3 linked regions of the Xenopus tropicalis genome follow. The protein of the gene in region 3 purifies or fractionates together with the protein of the main gene of each other region. This does not show direct contact. Links are inferred from orthologs where the notes say so. Each region holds a gene or a part of one and is shown on either strand. Other genes may lie near its edges.

The links. The genes of interacting proteins can lie anywhere in the genome.
Region 1: the proteins of serine/threonine-protein kinase Nek2 (region 3) and anapc7 purify together in Homo sapiens (affinity purification with mass spectrometry; 3 studies listed by BioGRID and IntAct, with this or other methods). This does not show direct contact. The link is inferred for Xenopus tropicalis from reciprocal best matches to the Homo sapiens genes NEK2 and ANAPC7.
Region 2: the proteins of serine/threonine-protein kinase Nek2 (region 3) and anapc4 purify together in Homo sapiens (affinity purification with mass spectrometry; 6 studies listed by BioGRID and IntAct, with this or other methods). This does not show direct contact. The link is inferred for Xenopus tropicalis from reciprocal best matches to the Homo sapiens genes NEK2 and ANAPC4.

Annotation. Positions count from the first base shown.
Region 1 is NC_030677.2:162,758,948-162,765,375, reverse strand, and holds part of anapc7 (anaphase-promoting complex subunit 7), read left to right. Parts: intron 1-309; coding exon 310-463; intron 464-896; coding exon 897-1,039; intron 1,040-1,479; coding exon 1,480-1,597; intron 1,598-1,812; coding exon 1,813-2,009; intron 2,010-4,608; coding exon 4,609-4,833; intron 4,834-5,700; coding exon 5,701-5,851; intron 5,852-6,211; coding exon 6,212-6,401; 3' UTR 6,402-6,428. UniProt on the Homo sapiens protein: Component of the anaphase promoting complex/cyclosome (APC/C), a cell cycle-regulated E3 ubiquitin ligase that controls progression through mitosis and the G1 phase of the cell cycle.
Region 2 is NC_030677.2:31,789,470-31,795,897, forward strand, and holds part of anapc4 (anaphase-promoting complex subunit 4), read right to left. Parts: intron 5,378-6,428; coding exon 5,245-5,377; intron 4,643-5,244; coding exon 4,568-4,642; intron 3,986-4,567; coding exon 3,959-3,985; intron 3,867-3,958; coding exon 3,822-3,866; intron 3,201-3,821; coding exon 3,116-3,200; intron 1,284-3,115; coding exon 1,179-1,283; intron 1,093-1,178; coding exon 1,009-1,092; intron 903-1,008; coding exon 816-902; intron 103-815; coding exon 38-102; intron 1-37. UniProt on the Homo sapiens protein: Component of the anaphase promoting complex/cyclosome (APC/C), a cell cycle-regulated E3 ubiquitin ligase that controls progression through mitosis and the G1 phase of the cell cycle.
Region 3 is NC_030681.2:14,883,636-14,889,610, reverse strand, and holds part of serine/threonine-protein kinase Nek2, read right to left. Parts: intron 5,538-5,975; coding exon 5,297-5,537; intron 4,268-5,296; coding exon 4,185-4,267; intron 4,067-4,184; coding exon 3,940-4,066; intron 2,477-3,939; coding exon 2,260-2,476; intron 2,170-2,259; coding exon 2,115-2,169; intron 1,881-2,114; coding exon 1,804-1,880; intron 343-1,803; coding exon 128-342; 3' UTR 1-127. UniProt on the Homo sapiens protein: Protein kinase which is involved in the control of centrosome separation and bipolar spindle formation in mitotic cells and chromatin condensation in meiotic cells.

The DNA.
Region 1 (6,428 bases), on a different chromosome or scaffold from region 3:
CGAAGACCATTACCAGAGGCTGTTATCATATCTTACTGCATTACCCACCATCCCTTCCAAAAGAATATTGCCCAGGCTGCTACAAATATTATTGCATCATAGGTATAGTAAGGCAAGAGCTTAGCATTGGGCTGATTTCCTACAGACAATTTCTAATTAGCCCCACTGATACAGGCATCTTGTCTCCTTTTTCTATACCTGCTATTTCATAGTTATTAAACTCACTATCAATGCAGGCTCTGCTACACTGCACTGTGTAGCAGCCAGTGTTTATTGATGTTCATTAAGGGCCCTTTATTTTCATTTCAGGTTTGCTGTCCCTTTCTGTAAAAGGAGCAGAAGTTGCATCTATGACTCTCAATGTCATCCAGAGTATTCCCAACCTAGACTGGCTTTCTGCCTGGATCAAAGCCTATGCATTTGTGCACACTGGAGACAACACCAGAGCTATCAATACTATCTGGTAATTGTTTAACTTGAAAAAAGCAGAATACAGAGTACAGACACAACTAGCAATATCCAAAATGGAGTGAAGAGGGGTGTAGTAACAGGAGAACCAAATAAAAAGTACTGTGTTTTGGGAGTTAGGCACCCTTCATCTGCCTGTCTGTCATCTATCTATCTATTTATCATTAGCTATCTTATTTTTTTTTTTTTAACAATGAGTTTTTCTTGAGAATATTTGAACAGTACATAACTATGTTTCTTTAATAGCAAAGTTGTACGATTTGACATTTGATTACCAATGCAATGCAAATATCTATCATCTATCTATCTATCTATCTATCTATCATCACTAACCTAATATATCTTATAAATATATATATATCTTTGCTTATAATCAATATTTTTCATTCATATGATAAATTAGGTTTCTGATATGTTTGTTGTTTTAGTTCTCTAGAAAAGAAATCTTTGCTAAGGGACAATGTAGATCTTCTGGGGACCTTGGCAGATTTGTATTTCCGTGTTGGTGACAATAAAAATGCCATTCTTAAGTTTGAGCAAGCCCAGATGCTGGATCCTTATCTCATAAAAGGTTTGTTTTTACAATGTGTGTGTGTGTTATCCTGACATAAAATTGACATTTATTATACATACTTAATTCTGGTAAATTTGGGATAAAATTAGGAATACTAGCAAACAGGAAGCTGATTGGCAACACTCAGTGACAGCTAACAACTGCACTGAAGATCCATTCTACAAGTGGGTAGAGGACATCTTTATTAATTAAGACAATGGACAAGGTGACTAATAAAGAAGGTTTAGGGTAATGCTGCATGGGAATATCTTTGTTGCCTGCAATGATGCATAGCAATGCAGTTATTAAGGGAACAAAACCATTCCAGTCCTTCCCCAAGCAACAACTTCCTGACAAGTAGTTACGGGCGATGTAATTGTTGACTGCCAGGTAGTAGCTCCAGAGGGACAAATCAGAGGCACAAACCTTTGCATCTAATATCATTTTACCCCTCCAAGGAATGGATATATATGGGTACTTGCTGGCCCGTGAAGGTCGACTGGAAGATGTGGAAAATCTTGGCTGCCGCTTGTTCAATATATCTGATCAGCATGCTGAGCCATGGGTGGTTTCTGGGTAAGTGTTATTTGTACACTGCTGCCAAAAAGTGGCTTGCGTGACTGATGTAGCTGACTCTCTGTAAAAAATTCTTTAGTATATTGTCACTATTTAGTATCTAGTAGCATGTAGTAGTGGTAAGCCTTAAACATCATGACTTTCTAAGTAATCTCTCTAAGTTGCTTTGGATTTACCACTACTACTAAGATATAAATCTGATTTATTCCTTCTAGGTGCCACAGCTTTTATACTAAGAGACACTCCAGAGCCCTGTATTTAGGTGCCAAGGCTATCCAGCTGAACAGCAATAGTGTTCAAGCCTTACTATTAAAGGGGGCAGCATTAAGAAACATGGGAAGGGTGCAGGAAGCAATAATTCATTTCCGAGAAGCAATTCGATTAGCACCTTGTCGGCTTGACTGCTGTGAAGGTGAGTAAGAAAATGGGTGGATCTCAGTTATTTGTTATTTATTAAAATAAATGCTTGTATTTGGTTGCTGGCAGGTGAGTTGGGATGTTAAATATACAGATCTATTAAACAATATAGAAGTGTTGCAGAAATGATATACAGTGGATATAAAAAGTCTACACACCCCTGGTAAAATGTCAGGTTCCTGTGCTGTACAAAAATGAGACAAAGATAAATAATTTCAGAACTTTTTCCACCTTTAATGTGACCTATAAACTGTACCACTCGATTGAAAAACAAACTGAAATCTTTTAGGTGGAGGGAAGAAAACCAAAAAAACTAAAATAATGTGGTTGCATAAGTGTGCACACCCTTAAACCAATACTTTGTTGAAGCCCCTTTTGATTTTATTACAGCACTCAGTCTTTTTGGGTATGAGTCTATCAGCATGGCACATTTTGACTTTGCAAGATTTGCCCACTCTTCTTTGCAGAAACGCTCCAAATCTGTCAGATTGCAAGGGCATCTCCTGTGCACAGCCCTCTTCAGATCAACCCACAGATTTTCAATCGGATTCAGGTCTGGGCTCTGGCTGGCCATTCCAAAACTTTAACCTTCTTCCGGTGAAGCCATTCCTTTGTTGATTTGGATGTATGCTTTGGGTCGTTGTCATGCTGAAAGATGTAGTTCCTTCTCATGTTCAGCTTTCTAGCAGAAGCCTGAAGGTTTTGTGCCAATATTGACTGGTATTTGGAACTGTTCATAATTCCCTCTATCTTAACTAAGGCCCCAGTTCCAGCTGAAGAAAAACAGCCCCAAAGCATTATGCTGCCACCACCATGCTTCACTGTGGGTATGGTGTTCTTTTGGTGATGTGCAGTATTGTTTTTGCGCCAAACATATTTTTTGGAATTATGGCCAAAAAGTTCAACCTTGGTTTCATCAGACCATAACACCTTTTCCCACATGCTTTTGGGAGACTTCAGATGTGTTTTTGCAAAATGTAGCCTGGCTTGGATGTTTTTCTTCGTAAGAAAAGGCTTTTGTCTTGCCACTCTACCCTATAGCCCAGACATATGAAGAATACGGGAGATTGTTGTCACATGTACCACACAGCCAGTACTTGCCAGATATTCCTGCAGCTCCTTTAATGTTGCTGTAGGCCTCTTGGTAGTCTCCCTGACCAGTTTTCTTCTCGTCTTTTCATCAATTTTGGAGGGACGTCCAGTTCTTGGGTAATGTCACTGTTGTGCCATATTTTCTCCACTTGATGAACACAGTCTTCACTGTGTTCCATGGTATATCTAATGCCTTGGAACAAATGTTTGTACCCTTCTCCTGACTGATATATTTTAACATTGAGATCCCTCTGATGATTTGGAAGCTGTGGGATGTGACCAAAAAAATGCCAGGAAAGACCAACTAGAGCAGCTGAACTTTATTTGTGGTTAATCAGAGGCACTTTAAATGATGGCAGGTGTATGCTGAATCCTATTTAACATGATTTTGAATGTGATTGCTTAATTCTGAAGACAGCTACATCCCCAGTTAGAAGAGGGTGTGCACACTTATGCAACCACATTATTTTAGTTTTTTTGTTTTTCTTCCCTCCATCTAAAAGATTTCAGTTTGTTTTTGAATTGAGTGGTAAAAGTTCTGAAATGATTTATCTTTGTCTCATTTTTGTACAGCACAGGAACCTGACATTTTACCAGGGGTGTGTAGACTTTTTATATCCACTGTATGCATATATACTAATCTCTGTTAAAGGTAAAAGGGCGTACAGAGCAAAAAGATGACTTAGCTTAATCACTCTTATCTCTACCCTGCAGTTTTAGCAGCTAACAGCTCATGATATAAATGCTGTCCGCAAGGAAATCTTTGGGTGTGCTAGTTTTGACCAATGGCATTCTTTGGGTGGGTTACTTTAAACGTATAGGCTTCGTATTAGTATTTTTGTGCATCTCATGTCATTTGCAAACATGTAAAAAAGTAGCCTATAAAAGCAGTGAGTTGCAAAGCCACATTTGAAGCCTTCTGTGATACATGTCATTCTGTGTGGTTGCATGCTTTCCAAGACTCTGTATTTTTGACTTATAATAAAGCAGCCATTTCTGCACAATACCTTATTATTTAAAGTTTCGATAAGTAAAATTACCAAAATGGCTTTACCATTTTGAAAGCGTAATATTTTTTTATTTGGATTTTTAAAATCAAGAAATTGCATATTACTGATGTAATATTTGTTGGGGAAGCTTAGGTTTGCTGAAAACAATACATCTGAGCAAGACTTATAATTATGATTTTATTGCAAAATGAGGAAGTATTACCAAAAAACCCTTTTAATATATGCATTCAATGTGCATTGGTGGATTTCTTGCATTTGTATAGTTCTCTTATTGCAATCCAGGCTAGTAAATCCTCTGCTTAGGTAAAAATCAAGTAACATTAATTGACTGTAATAAAAAATACCCAGATGACAAATGTTATGTTAAATAAAACCAAACTTGATTTCATCATTCAGGTTTTGCATTTCTCTTTTATATACAAATTTTGTATTTTGTTAGTATAATGTCCCTTTAAATGTTCTATTTCTGAGCAGCTGATCTTATCTTCCCAGGTCTCATTGAATGCTATTTGGCATCCAGCAGTGTGCGGGAAGCCATGGTGATGGCCAACAATGTCTACAAAACCCTTGGAGCCAACGCACAAACTCTAACTCTGCTGGCAACTGTGTGCCTGGAAGATCCTGTTACCCAAGAGAAAGCAAAAACATTGTTAGACAAAGCGCTCATTCAGAGACCGGATTATATAAAGGCTGTTGTGAAGAAAGCGGAGTTACTAAGTAAGTTCTTTAATGATGTAGTTAGGTGATATTTAGAATATCTTAATATGTGTGCTACTGGCCACAAAAAGACTCATTTACCTATGATGCAGCATTTTCCCCCAGAATTCTGTTGTCAAACCAGACATTGTGCCACAAATTGTGCATGATTTACTAGTGTAGATGCAAATTAATGGCATTAGGGCATGATTTACTAAACACAAGTTATTTGCATGTTTAGCTGAACTCCGGAAACCCTGGAAATAGCATCTTTAATGCAGGTGCTAATTTCAGGGCTCATGTGCAAGTGTAAGGCAAGTGTAAGGGATAGCTTTTAAGTGCTTTTTAAAGGAGAACTAAAGCATAACTAATGAAGTAGGCTAGAAACGTTGTGCATTAGGTTTTGGGCTTCTGTACCAGCCGAAGGCCCTTTAGCAGGGAAGATCTGAGCCTCCAAAGATGCCACAGTAGCCCCCCATCTTCTTTTCTGCTGATTCACTGCACATGCTCTGTGCTGCTGTCACTTACTGAGCTTAGGGACCGACGCACAATATACTGTCTATATAGAATATAAATGTCACAATACAGGCTGATTAGTAATTTATTCAGTTTCACATTACATGGCAGCTTAGTAACCAGTGCAATTTGCATCAGAATTTAATAATCAGCCCTTTAGCATCATCTTGTATGACAGGCCAGCCTCATTTTCTGCAGTAAGTTCAGTATATAAATTATGGCATTTCTAGCCAAATTAATTTTTAGGGTATGGTTGTTTAAGTGCAGTGTGTATGTAGCATGTTAAATGTGCTTAGTGTGAATGTATGGAGCATGTTAAATGTGCTGAAATGGTGATATTAAATCATGCATTAAATGTTGATTACTTCTCAGGTCGAGAGCAGAAGTATGAAGAGGGAATTGCCCTGCTGCGTAATACCCTTGCAAACCAGAGTGACTGCGTACTACATCGGATGCTAGGAGATTTTCTGGTGGCAGTTAATGAGTTTCAGGAAGCTATGGATCAGTACAGCATCGCCCTCAGGTAAATCTTTACAACCAAGCCCCCTCTTAATAAAATATTGTTATCAGATGCAGTATATATTGTGAAAGTACATTCTTGAAAAAGTGTTCAGACAGTCAGCAGTTAGCTTTGGCCCCTCTCGTGCATTTAGAATAATGAATGCACAAATTGGATTGGTTGCTACAGGTTTTTCTGATGTGAAGCCCATTGTTACATATGGTCAAGGATGCAAGTGTCTTCTTGCTTCTCCTATTTAGTGTTTCATTATTGTAACAACAAATTGCTCAGGTACGTGTTGCAATGAAATACTAAACAAGGGGGCAACCTATGTTCATCATCTAAAACAAGGTAAAACCATACAATTTGTTTTTTGGTCCTTAGTTTGGATCCAAATGACCAAAAATCCTTGGAGGGAATGCAGAAAATGGAGAAGGAAGAGAGCCCTACTGACGCCACTCAAGAAGAAGATGTTGATGACATGGAGGGGAGTGGAGAAGAGGGAGATCTAGAGGGCAGTGACAGTGAAGCTGCTCAGTGGGCAGATCAGGAGCCGTGGTTTGCAATGCAGTGAAGTTGGACTTAACCTTTTAAGTTGTTT
Region 2 (6,428 bases), on a different chromosome or scaffold from region 3:
CAGTCTTTCAAGGAAAATGAGAAATTAAAACAGATACCTTGCTTTGCCCCACAGGAGTAACTGCATGAATTCATCCTGCACAGACGTAGTTGTGTTTTTTTCCTGAAACAACAGAAAGAAGCAACTCACTGGGATTGTTGTTACGCATATCATCTGTTTGCTGTGGAAATTGACTTTATACTTTCCTTCATGGTTGTTTATCTGCATAGTACTATACCTACAGCTAGGTAAATCAACCATATTTGCAAAAATAATTCACTAGCAGGTGTTTGTCATGAATTTAACAGGACTGACACTCGTTTGAGTGGCCAGGGGTTCAACACTTTTGTAAAAAATGGCCCAGCAGACAAAATAAGAGGGCTATGGGAGGAAAACAAAGACTATGGAGATGTATGCATGGCCAGTAGCCTACTTATTGAGAAAAACAGAGCAAGTGTAAAATATCTATGCACTCACCTCTTTATATTTCAATCAGAACTGGGATCAACTTTTTTTGGACAGAACAGGAGTGCAAAAGGAAGTTTCAGCACACTTCCTGATCTTCAGCTCAAAAAGCACTTACATGGATCCAAATTAAGACAAATAAAACAAAAAACATTTTATTGTGCCCTTTAAATTGAGCTTCCAAAAACTTACCATCTTCAGCTGCCAAGTTTACAGCTGAACATGCCTCTGGCTTTTTGAATAGACACCTGCATTTTACTAGTCTCCCTGTACCTTACCAGGTTATACCTACACAGTTATGTACTCAATCAGAACTGATAAACAAATTTGAGATTTGAGATTTTGATTTCTAAGAATCTTCCTATACCCACCTGTACAAACTTTGTTAATCGTGAATCCATCTGCATCAGTATTTCTTCCCAAGCTTCACACATACATGTCAGAGACAACTGCAAATACTGGAAAACAACAGAGGAAAATTACAATGCGACAGAGGGAATGTGCTATGAACCGGTGAAAAAAGTGAGAACTGTAAGATCTCAACAAATCTGATACCCATTTTACCTGAAGGAGTGTTGAGATGTGGGTAAATTTTCTGGCCATCCGAGTCACTTCAGGTAAGCAATCTGATAACAAACTGGTGTCCAGCTATAGAAACAAACAACAAGGCTGGACATAAAAATCAGGGTCTCAAAAAAAACTATTGGTTTACACATAACCAGGTAGACACAGACCTGAAAATAGGTAATTTCAGGCATACTATTTGTTGTCAGTTCAGTGACAACAGAGAGAGACTTGAGATCATTAGACAGGCAAAGTCCCAGGCAAGATCCATAGACCTGTAGAAAAAGCAGATATTTTGTATTATGTAACATAATTCTAGTTATACCTCAATGAATATGAATGTAGGATTCTGCTTAACATGCAACTAAAGTAACATATGAAGTAGGCTAGAAATTACGTAATGTATAGGGCTAGAAGGGCAGTAGAATTGACAGAGAATGTCCATGCCCCATAGTTGTCCCTGAAATCTTTTATAACCAAATGTGGCTTGATTAGTATGTTGGCTAAAAGTACATGCATAAACATGAGATGACTCAACGAAATAAACAGATCCGGAGCGCATAGAATGGGGGAAAAAAGAAAAACAATAATAGTGTAGTAACGTTTAAATATTGTGACAGTATTAAACCCCGTTTAAAGTTCCCAGTGTTCAATAAATTAATATTAACACCAAGTGTGGTACTGCTAACTGCTCACCAGATGGCAGTGTTGTTGAAGTAAAATAAACGTCATGTGTTCATTGCAGACTTGTAGCTGTTTGAACGGATATTGTATCCCTGGGATGTGTCTCAATTGTATCGATGTATCCTCCACGTCTGATTATCCTTATGTGCACTGTGGCTATATCCTCATTGAGGCATACAAAAAGGAAAAAACCGCCACTAGTGCAATATGATTTATTATAAAACAATATATAAAGAATAAAACTTACAGTATGTAGTCAGATATAGGAACTCAATAGCCCGAAAAGCCCAACGCGTTTCGTGCACTGCTCGGTGCACTTCCTCAGGAGCAAGAATCAAGTCTTGACTTGACTTGACTTGATTCTTGCTCCTGAGGAAGTGCACCGAGCAGTGCACGAAACGCGTTGGGCTTTTCGGGCTATTGAGTTCCTATATCTGACTACATACTGTAAGTTTTATTCTTTATATATTGTTTTATAATAAATCATATTGCACTAGTGGCGGTTTTTTCCTTTTTGTATGCCTCAATGAGGATATAGCCACAGTGCACATAAGGATAATCAGACGTGGAGGATACATCGATACAATTGAGACACATCCCAGGGATACAATATCCGTTCAAACAGCTACAAGTCTGCAATGAACACATGACGTTTATTTTACTTCAACAACACTGCCATCTGGTGAGCAGTTAGCAGTACCACACTTGGTGTTAATATTAATTTATTGAACACTGGGAACTTTAAACGGGGTTTAATACTGTCACAATATTTAAACGTTACTACACTATTATTGTTTTTCTTTTTTCCCCCATTCTATGCGCTCCGGATCTGTTTATTTCGTTGAGTTTACTTCGGAACCCAGTCAAAGGGGTTGTTTTAAGACGGAGCTGCAGTAAAGAAAACTTTTACACATCTAATTTTGTTACACGATTCAAGTAAAGACTGGACACTTTATTATTTGCTAGCGCTGAGGACTTTTTTGGTATTTTTGGTATTGTTTTTTACCTCACTACATAAACATGAGATGGCAAATCTATATACAACTAAGATTTGGGGTAAGAACCCACGGAGTGGTTTCGTCGCCCGCAATAGATCTCTGCTATAGCAGCATGCGACAAACTGTTCTGAAAAGGCTTTCCACCAGCAACAATAGAAGTCACCGATGGAAAGCCCTTCACATCGCTGCGGTAATCCAAAGCCGTGTAAAGTTTCCTCCTGCAGGCAACTTCGAGAAAATTAAGGGATGCGAAGGGCTTTTCCCCGGTGACTCCAATTGTTGCTGCCATAGCAGAGATCTATGGGCGGGCGACTGAACCGATCTGTGGGTTCTTACCCTTAGAGGTAGGAACTTATTAACCTAAATACCAGTTTCATACCACTCTATAATGTGATTGGTGCGTTTAAGTAATTTATATTTATTACCTCTGAAATTGTTGCAATTTTGTACATTCCATAGGCATATATTTCAATTTGTCCTGAGTCTCCTCCAAGAACCAAAGCATTAAGTCTGAAGGAGCAGAAGTGTGCAAATGTTAGTAATAATAAGTGACTATAAAATATAAAGTTATTATAAGTCACTGATGCGTTTCATGACCATATAAAAGCAGAAGGCCAAAGGCAGAGTGATGTCTAATATCCTCATATGTTACAAGCAGGATACATTATTATAATACATAAGTTTCAGTGAGTCAAATGACATCACTAAGCACCCATTATGACTGATATTGTCACTAAACACTGGTATACACAATGGTATAATTTACAGGATATTCATGGCTCTTGTGTATTATAAGGATGTAGTCACTATATAAAGGCTCAAAGTTGAAGGATTTTAATTTGGCAATGGAACTTCAAAGTGGCTTTATACATTTTTCCGCAGTAGTATATCATTTTTTCTCTTTATAAGACACAAGTTACAATGAGTCATGTGACAAGTGAAGTGAAATCAATTTAAATTATTTTAAAAGGTTATTCATGACTCTTGTGTATTCCAGCCATATATAAGGATAATATTACCTAGTTACATAACAGCAACAATATAAGAGGGAGTTTTTTACCCTATTAAGTGTCAACTTTTTGTTGTCAGCGCAAATTATACACGTTTGCCTCAAACAGTATCCTTTCTTACCTCACATCTCCTAATAGCTTTAATATTTCATCAGACTTTTCTTCACTGGAATATAAAATATACATAAAATACATATAAATTGTAAGAAATGTTTATGTGAACAATAAAAAAGGTAAAAATATAAGAGAACAACTTACCTGAAGATTTTTGCTGTGGCAGTATAACTAAAGAAAGAGAAAATCATTTTTAGTAGTATAACAATTTAGGGGTGTTTGTTAGCTGCAAAGATGACACAATATTTAAAGGGGTGTTAATCTACCCAAATTGTAAAGAGGTTAGCATGATAAGAACAGTGATCCTTGTGTTTTTTTGTTAAACATGTTACAGCTTCTTCTATATGTCACTGTGAGTTGCCTGTCGACTTGCAAACCTTCTTGCGGGACAAACTGGCTAGCATTTAAAGAGTTAAACTGCTAATTAGTTGCAGGGGATACTGACCCAAGAATCAAGCCAGCGGACACACAAGACCATGAATATTAGAAGGCCTAAATCATCAAGATATACATTTTTGGGTGGCCAGGGTCACTGACCCAAGAAGCCAATTGGCATTTTTAATGCCAATAATATGTTAGGGAGTAATTAATTAAGAAATGGAGCATCTGTTTGTAAACCAGACATTGACAGTGAGGTTTGAGTCCATTTAAATCATTGAATCAAAACACATGAGTTAGAAACAGAAAAAAAAGCATTCATGTAAGAGTTAAGAACATACTGTAACCGTAATAATATGCTTAGCAAATAATTACTTTTTGGGCAGTGCAGGTAATTTGGGCAGCAGAACATTAGATTCATCTTCAGCATTGTAAAACGAAGTCAATACACTGAATGAAAAAGAGAAAATAGCATTAGGGGCACCCCGTATACAAATACACGCTCCAGCCCTATAGTCTCATCTGAAAAACAAATAAATAACATAAGATTTAAACCATGAAAAAAAATGTCAGTGAGTGTTCTGAAATTGTGGTACACCGCTGAGCAACAATATTTGAGTCAGATTTTTCTATGATTAAAACAATGGGGCAAAAAGTACGTTCTGCACAAACTGAACTAATGTTTTACAAGGGGGTATACACATCCTATAATGATGCAATTAAAACTATTGACATTTTTTTTATTTCACTTTTTATTTGTCCAGCACCTCTTTAGTTAGGCATTTAAAATGTTATTTGGTTGCTACGGAAAAGACTAACAAAAACGCACACAAACAAATCTTCCTCACAATCTGATTTCTGGATGCAATGATCGCTGGGAGTTTGGAGAGCAACAGGGAGGCAAATAATTTGAAACTTAAGATCAGATACAAAATTTCTTGTATTTCTTCTGTCAATAAATCCTAAAAGTTAATATTTCAGTGAACTTTCCTTTTTCGGATTGGTTAACTATGCAGCATGATTTGCATACAGTGCCCAATTTCAGGACTTGCCTGTTTTCCACCTTTACTTCCATCCACTGCATACATGATATTGGTGTTTCCAGTGAGAAGGAATGGAGACTTTCAGGTTTCTCTACATCACACAAAACAACTTTCTTTGTATCAGCAAGACCAAATGCCAGTACTGCCAAGAAAAGGGAAAATTGTGTTAAACAAGTGCTCTGCTGAATTAGAAAATGTGAAAGTTAAAAGGGCTCATTTTCTATAGGACATAAAATCACCAGTGTGTTTGTGCAGATTCTAGGAGCACATTTTCACATTACAGAAATGAAAAAATATTTGCACAGGCTCTCATCAAGGGCAGATAACAGGGAGGCAATAAAAAGATAGATGCGTGGCGTTCGGCATACCCCATGCTAGTGATTTTAGGTAACCAACAAGAGTCCCATCAGCGGGTTCCTAAGAACTTAGAACCCCCAATTGATTTCTAGGCATCCTTCACCTTTAAACAAAGGTAAGGAGCAAAGGTCCAAATATAGGTGCCAATCAGTTCAAAGATTTGCATTGTATAGTGAATGGCACCAATGTATGAGGAGCACATATGCGGCCCATGGACATCTATGTGCACACCCCTTACCCATGCTACAGGTGCAAATGGTGCCACTGGCTCCAACAATATTGGGAGCCCTATACTTGCCAACTGCCTACGACACAAGGTGCAAACTGTTAAACCTAGCAAACAATTTTGTAATGGAATTTCTCAAAGCTAGAACACTATATGCATAACGTTGGCATACAACTCCAGTAAATATTTGAACAAGCCCATAAAAAACCATGTAGCAAGACCTACAAAGCACAGGCTTGACTGTCCGCTGGAATCGCCAAAACAAGTCAGGGTGCCCGGACTTCTACTTCCCAATATAGTATTTTAGAATAAACAGAATTATTAGCCAAAGGAAACAATGACATTTTTATTTCAGCAACTTTAATGGCAAAGATGTGGTCATTATGGGGGCGATGTGGATATAACTATGTGGATACAGGTGATGTAACAGCAAAGGAACATGACTAAGCACAGCTGCATACAATGGCATACTGACCTACAGAATCCCACAGTAAAATCATTTTAGGGGCCCACATAAACTTTGGACTTTCATCCCCTTTGCATTTCTGCCGAGTTTAGTACAAGCCCTATATTTTACAAACCATGTCAGCAGTCACTACAGTCTATACCC
Region 3 (5,975 bases):
TACATTTCGCAATAAATTAGAGAAAAAGGTGCTATCTGCTTATAGGGAAGAATTGAGCAATAACAGCAATTTTTGAGAACAGAACAGTTTTTTGCTATTTTGTATGAGTTCCATAGTTGCGCAAGAGTCAACGCATGCCCAGGATCTGCCGGCTCTTCAGCTGATAATTCCTTTCCAGCTCAGACAGAGCTTTGGCACGAATGTTAGCAGCCTGCAGCCGTTTCTGCAAGTCACTGCACTTCTCTTGCTCCCGGTAGCGATCTGTACTGCTATTCTCTTTACTGTTGCTGCCAAAATGAACATGGCGTCTGCTCCGGGTAGAGGAACTATCCACGTAGGCGTCTGGAATATACATGGAATTAGATTAGCAACTTTGACTCAACAGATAAATGTGCCTTTATCATACCTGACTGATACACTAGTCAGGTGTATAGAAAACCCCCTGCCTGGTTTGGCATTTATGACTTTGTCCATACATACAAATTATTTATTTCTATGCACCTATAGATGTAGGTAGAGGCTGTGTTAAGTCTTTGGTAGCAGTGGAGCAACTAGGTAAATGACCAAGCGTGTTGGTATGGATGGAGACCTAGAGAATACTAGCACAACTGTAACAGTGCCCTTATTTATAACAAAAATGTCTGTTATAGTAAGCAGCCAGAATACCTAGAAAGCAATTTTGCTAAGACAAAGTGATGTTTAACAAGTTTGGGTTGGAAAAGTCTATTTACTTTATGATGTATGTTTATAGCACAGTAATGTGTCCCAGCAGCATCATATAGTATACTCTTTTAGGTATTTTTTTTTTATCTATATTTTCCAAGAGAAGGGGTCTTTCTGTTATATGAATCACCATGCCTTAAGTCTATTAAAAAACAAATCATTTAAACCCATTAGGACTGTTTTGCCTCCAATAAAGATGAATTAGATCTTAGCTGGGATTAAGCATGAGTACTGTTTTATTACATTTGAGAAAATGGAAATTTGGCACATTCCGGACACAGGGTTTCCAGATAACAGGTTTAATACCTGCATATTATTGTTATTAAAACAAGTAAAGATAAAAATAAGAGGCAGGACACAAAACTAAACTAGGATTTAACAATAAAATAGCATTTTTGCTCCTGCTGTACTTAAAGTTTTATTTTTTTTTTCTATTCAAATAACTAGAATCCCATAACAGAATTAGGAAAACCGATGTGGGCCAGGAAGCAGTTTTCAACACAAAATATTAACAAAGCCAAACTGTAGAACATGTAGGACAAGTTTTTACGTTTGTTATAGGGACCTGTGCATCAACACTCCTTCTCCAAAGCCCAGTCTTTTAGAGTGACTTTAAAAACTCTTATTATTTGAACATTACATAATATCTAATATATTGGGATGTTGATGCCTCTCGGATAGCAGGCCATAGGGGCCATTTTAAAGTTCTAGCAGTCATAGGCACAGGATAAAGGAAGACCACACTAGGACAAGGAAAGCAAATAGACATAGTGAGAAAGAATTCTATACAGGTGGGAGCAGCCTTACCAGCAGGAGAGAAAGAGAGGCTCCCAGTACCCTAAATATAGGGCAAATAAAAACCCAGCCAAATAAATTTATTTCACATTTAAAAAAAAAAAAAAAAAAAGGGAGACAAAGACAACAAATAAAGTGCATCATTGCAACTTGAGGAGCCCTGCATATACTCTTACAGGAGCTTAGCCAACATGCAGGGAATAACCCAAACACTAAAACATAGAATGTATCAGAATTTGCTCCATTCATTCCGAGGCTCCAAAGGCTTTCTGTTGGCTCTCATACCTTTGCCATTCTCTAGAGCAGCTTGAAACAGGTGCTGTTCCTTCATCAAGTTAAAGCTCTTCACCAAGGTTTCAGCCCTGTCGATAAAGTATAAGAAAATGTGTCAAATACATACAGGTAAGTATAGTTCCTGATTAATTTACAGATATTGGGAATATGCACTAGCCAATATATATATAAAAATAAAAATCCAGGTCTTGAACATGCTACATAAGTAATAATGGCACTACTACTTGTAATAAGTGGACAGAACTAATCTAAGAGGAGTATGTACCTGTACCACTGAGCTAAGAGCTTAGAATACAGCTTACCTGGCAAGTTTATCTTCTGCCATCCTTTCACGCACACACAGCTCTCGTTCTCTTTCTAGAGAATTAGATACATTTTATGGTTAGTGCTGCCAAATAGAGTCGTATGTGCAAATATTCTTAACATAAAACACATTTTTACACTTACGCTCTAGGCGCTCTTCCCTTTCTCTTAAGGCTCGCTCTCTTGTGTGCAGTTGCTGTTCCTTTAACCGGAGTTCTGAGGGGACAGGGTCTGGCATCGATAGCCTTTCCTGCTCTGCAGCTCTCAAAACTTTCTTTTCAGTTTTCTTTTGCTCTTCCCTGACCAACTCTGCTAATAAGTGATGCTGCAGTATCTCCTCTATAGAAGGCCTTAAATAATCCTAACACACAAGGACAACAGAACAAGCATGTGAGTAAACATTAGGGTGAAGACACACATAGCTACTAGTAGCAGCTACAAAGAAAAGAAAAAACAAAACCTACTCCATTAAAAGATCCCTATAGGTCATGCCAATAGTTCTATACCGATAGGGCTGCTTTTGTAACTGTTATTTGATGTTCCTAAACCTGAGTATTTTGCCAACCTGTCCCCCTTTCAGCTGGTCGGAATTTCTAATACTTATGGCCTACTGCTGCATAAAGTATAGTATAGTAGGGGAAAATGGGGAATCAGATAATGTAAAAATTATTGCAACACTGTCTTTGCATGTTTTACATCTATTATATTTCAAGTTTCAGTATCTCTTTAAACTTTAGTAAACAGCCATTCAAGCTAGAGAAAAAAAAAAAAAAGGCACAGGTTACTTAGTAGATATCAGATAAGCACTGTAGAATATAATGAGGTATTATCGGTTATCTGCTACGTAAACTGTGCCTTTTCTCAAGCTTAGGGCTCTGGCACACGGGGAGATTAGTCGCCCGCGACAAAACTCCCTGTTCGCGGGCGACTAATCTCCCCGAGTTGCCTTCACCTGCCATCCCACCGGCGACAATGTAAGTCGCCGGTGGGATGGCACACGCGGCGGCGCGAATTCGGGACATCGCCGAAAAAGACTTGCGAGGCTTTTTCAGTGATTTGCGCGAAATTGCGCCGCCGTGTGTGCCATCCCACCGGCGACTTACATTGTCGCCGGTGGGATGGCAGGAGAAGGCAACTCGGGGAGATTAGTCGCCCGCGAACAGGGAGTTTTGCCGCGGGCGACTAATCTCCCCGTGTACCAGAGCCCTTAAATGGCTGCCCCCGGGGCTACACAGCGGGGTATTTATATAAACTATAGTAGGGTTTCTGTAGCAAACACCCCAGCTGTACCAGTGCAGGAATGGCTTCCCCCGTGGCTACACAGCGGGGTATTTATATAAACTATAGTAGGGTTTCTGTAGCAAACACCCCAGCTGTACCAGTGCAGGAACGGCTGCCCCCGGGGCTACACAGTGGGGTATTTATATAAACTATAGTAGGGTTTCTGTAGCAAACACCCCAGCTGTACCAGTGCAGGAATGGCTGCCCCCGGGGCTACACAGCAAGGTATTTATATAAACTATAGTAGGGTTTCTGTAGCAAACACCCCAGCTGTACCAGTGCAGGAATGGCTGCCCCCGGGGCTACACAGCAGGGTATTTATATAAACTATAGTAGGGTTTCTGTAGCAAACACCCCAGCTGTACCAGTGCAGGGCCAATAGTATATTGTATTTTTAGTACTTTAAAAACACTTTTTGGTGTTACTGTTCCTTTAAACCTGACACTTAAGCATTTATGAAGCGTTTATACACAATCACAAATTATATCACTGCCTCGTTTAGCGCCAATTACTAATGCATGACATTACAAAGGGAATGCCTACCTTTAGATGGAGCATGTTTGTTATGACTTGATTAAGCTCTTCTGAATAGCGATAAGGAATGCGCCTAAACCTTCCTTCTCTGATCTTTTCTGCCAGTTCCTTTTGATTGTAAGCCGTAAAAGGTGGCCTAAAATAAAACAGGGTTCCCCAAATGAACAGGCTGCAAATTGGCAATTTTAGGTTTATTTCATCTTTTGCTAGATGCACATAGATTTAACACTGAAATAAAACAGTATTTTACTTACGAGAGAGCACAGAGTTCATACAGGAGGCATCCTAACGACCAGATATCAGATTTCTCGTTATAGGACATTCTGTTCATTTGTTCCTGAAACATAAAACAGAAAATTGCCACTGTTGTAAAATTGGCAGCAGTGTTTCTCTAATTTTTCAGGTATTGCTTTGTAGCAGATATATTCATCTCAATGAACTTCAATGTTGCATCTTCAGCTTTAGTTTTTTAGCATCCCCTTAAACCATTAGGGCAGATGGAGCACATATTACACAGTTATTCCATTTACATCAGTCCCTGCTATATCCAGGTAATGTCAGTGACATTGTAGCCATCTGAATGAAAGCATTTTCTACCATAAAGAAACTTACACACACACACACACACCCTGCGAAATGTGTGATAAAAAATTTGGGCCCCTTGGTTAGACATGTATCAGGGTGTCACTGAAGCATAATACCTCATAAAGACCTTGTTTGCCTATGCATTCAGAGTTTTGCCTTGTATTGTATGCAATTCTCTGTTATCAGCCTTCTGTGGTAAATACTACATTGTAACCTTATCTGTTAAATTCTACTCTTTAATGTCTTGGATCCTGCTGTGCCTCACACTATTGTTTATTTGTACTTCCAATCTTTGTCACCACCCCCATTTAAAAGAAAAAGTTAAAGGAGAAGGAAAGGCAAAGTCACTGGGGGTGCCAAAATGTTAGGCACCCCCAAGTGACTTAAATCGCCTACCTTGTACCCCGAGCTGATGCCATAGGCACCTTGTCGGAGATACAATTTCCAAGATGGCCTTAAGCTAGCACTGCACAGTTGCAAGGGAAGAGTCCACCTAGCCACCTCCATATTTCAGCACTGGATATAAACAAACTTTACGTACTTTCCAGACAGAAGAAAATGTCTCAATACAGCCATCAAGACTCAAGGGCAGTGAGGAAACTGGACAAACTAGCCATGCCGCTACAAGTGAGCAAGCGTTTGCAACACTCAGGGAAAACAGTGTTGAAGAGAACAGTTCCAGATTTCTAAGAAAAGACTCCAGTTCCGTAAGCCTAGAATACTAACCCAATACAAGTCACTAGCGTATTCAAACTGCACAATATCACAGCCAGATACTTACTGGAGACATGTAGTATGGTGTGCCAACAAACGTCTTGGCGAAACTGGAGTCATGATGCAGTATTCTGGCCAACCCAAAGTCTCCGAGCTTCACATTGTTTTTGGCATCTAGGAAGATGTTGGCAGGTTTCAGGTCTCGGTGGAGCACAGTGTGACCACCATCGCTTCTTTTGTGGCAATCTTTAAGTGCCAGGGCCAGTTGGGAAAAAATACGTAGGATAAAGTCTTCTTCCAAATATTGCCTTAAAAAAAAAAAAAAAAAAAGGATTTTAAACTAAAAGTGTTACTTTGCCACTCTTGTAGGCAGCCCCCCTAATAAATCAAATCCCTAACCTTAGACCCTGGGGCTGGGGCTCCTCTTCTGTAAAAAATACCAAGGCAATGGGTACTGCCCACCATATGGTTGAGAAATGACAAAATGGAACATAGCTAGTTAGAAAGGGGTGCTGGCCTGGGGTCCCAGCTTAATGATTAGGTTCAGTTGAGGCACCTAACAAATTGGCACCACCCCAGTGAATTTGGCTTTCTGTATATATGTATCTCTTTATATAGCGCTACACTGTATAGTAGAACAATATATTCATAGAATAAAACAGGTGTCAATACAAAAAAAGTAGTTATATCAAAGATTAAAAGCCAAGTATGAAAGACTCAAGAAATTAGACTCCTGCCCCACAGAG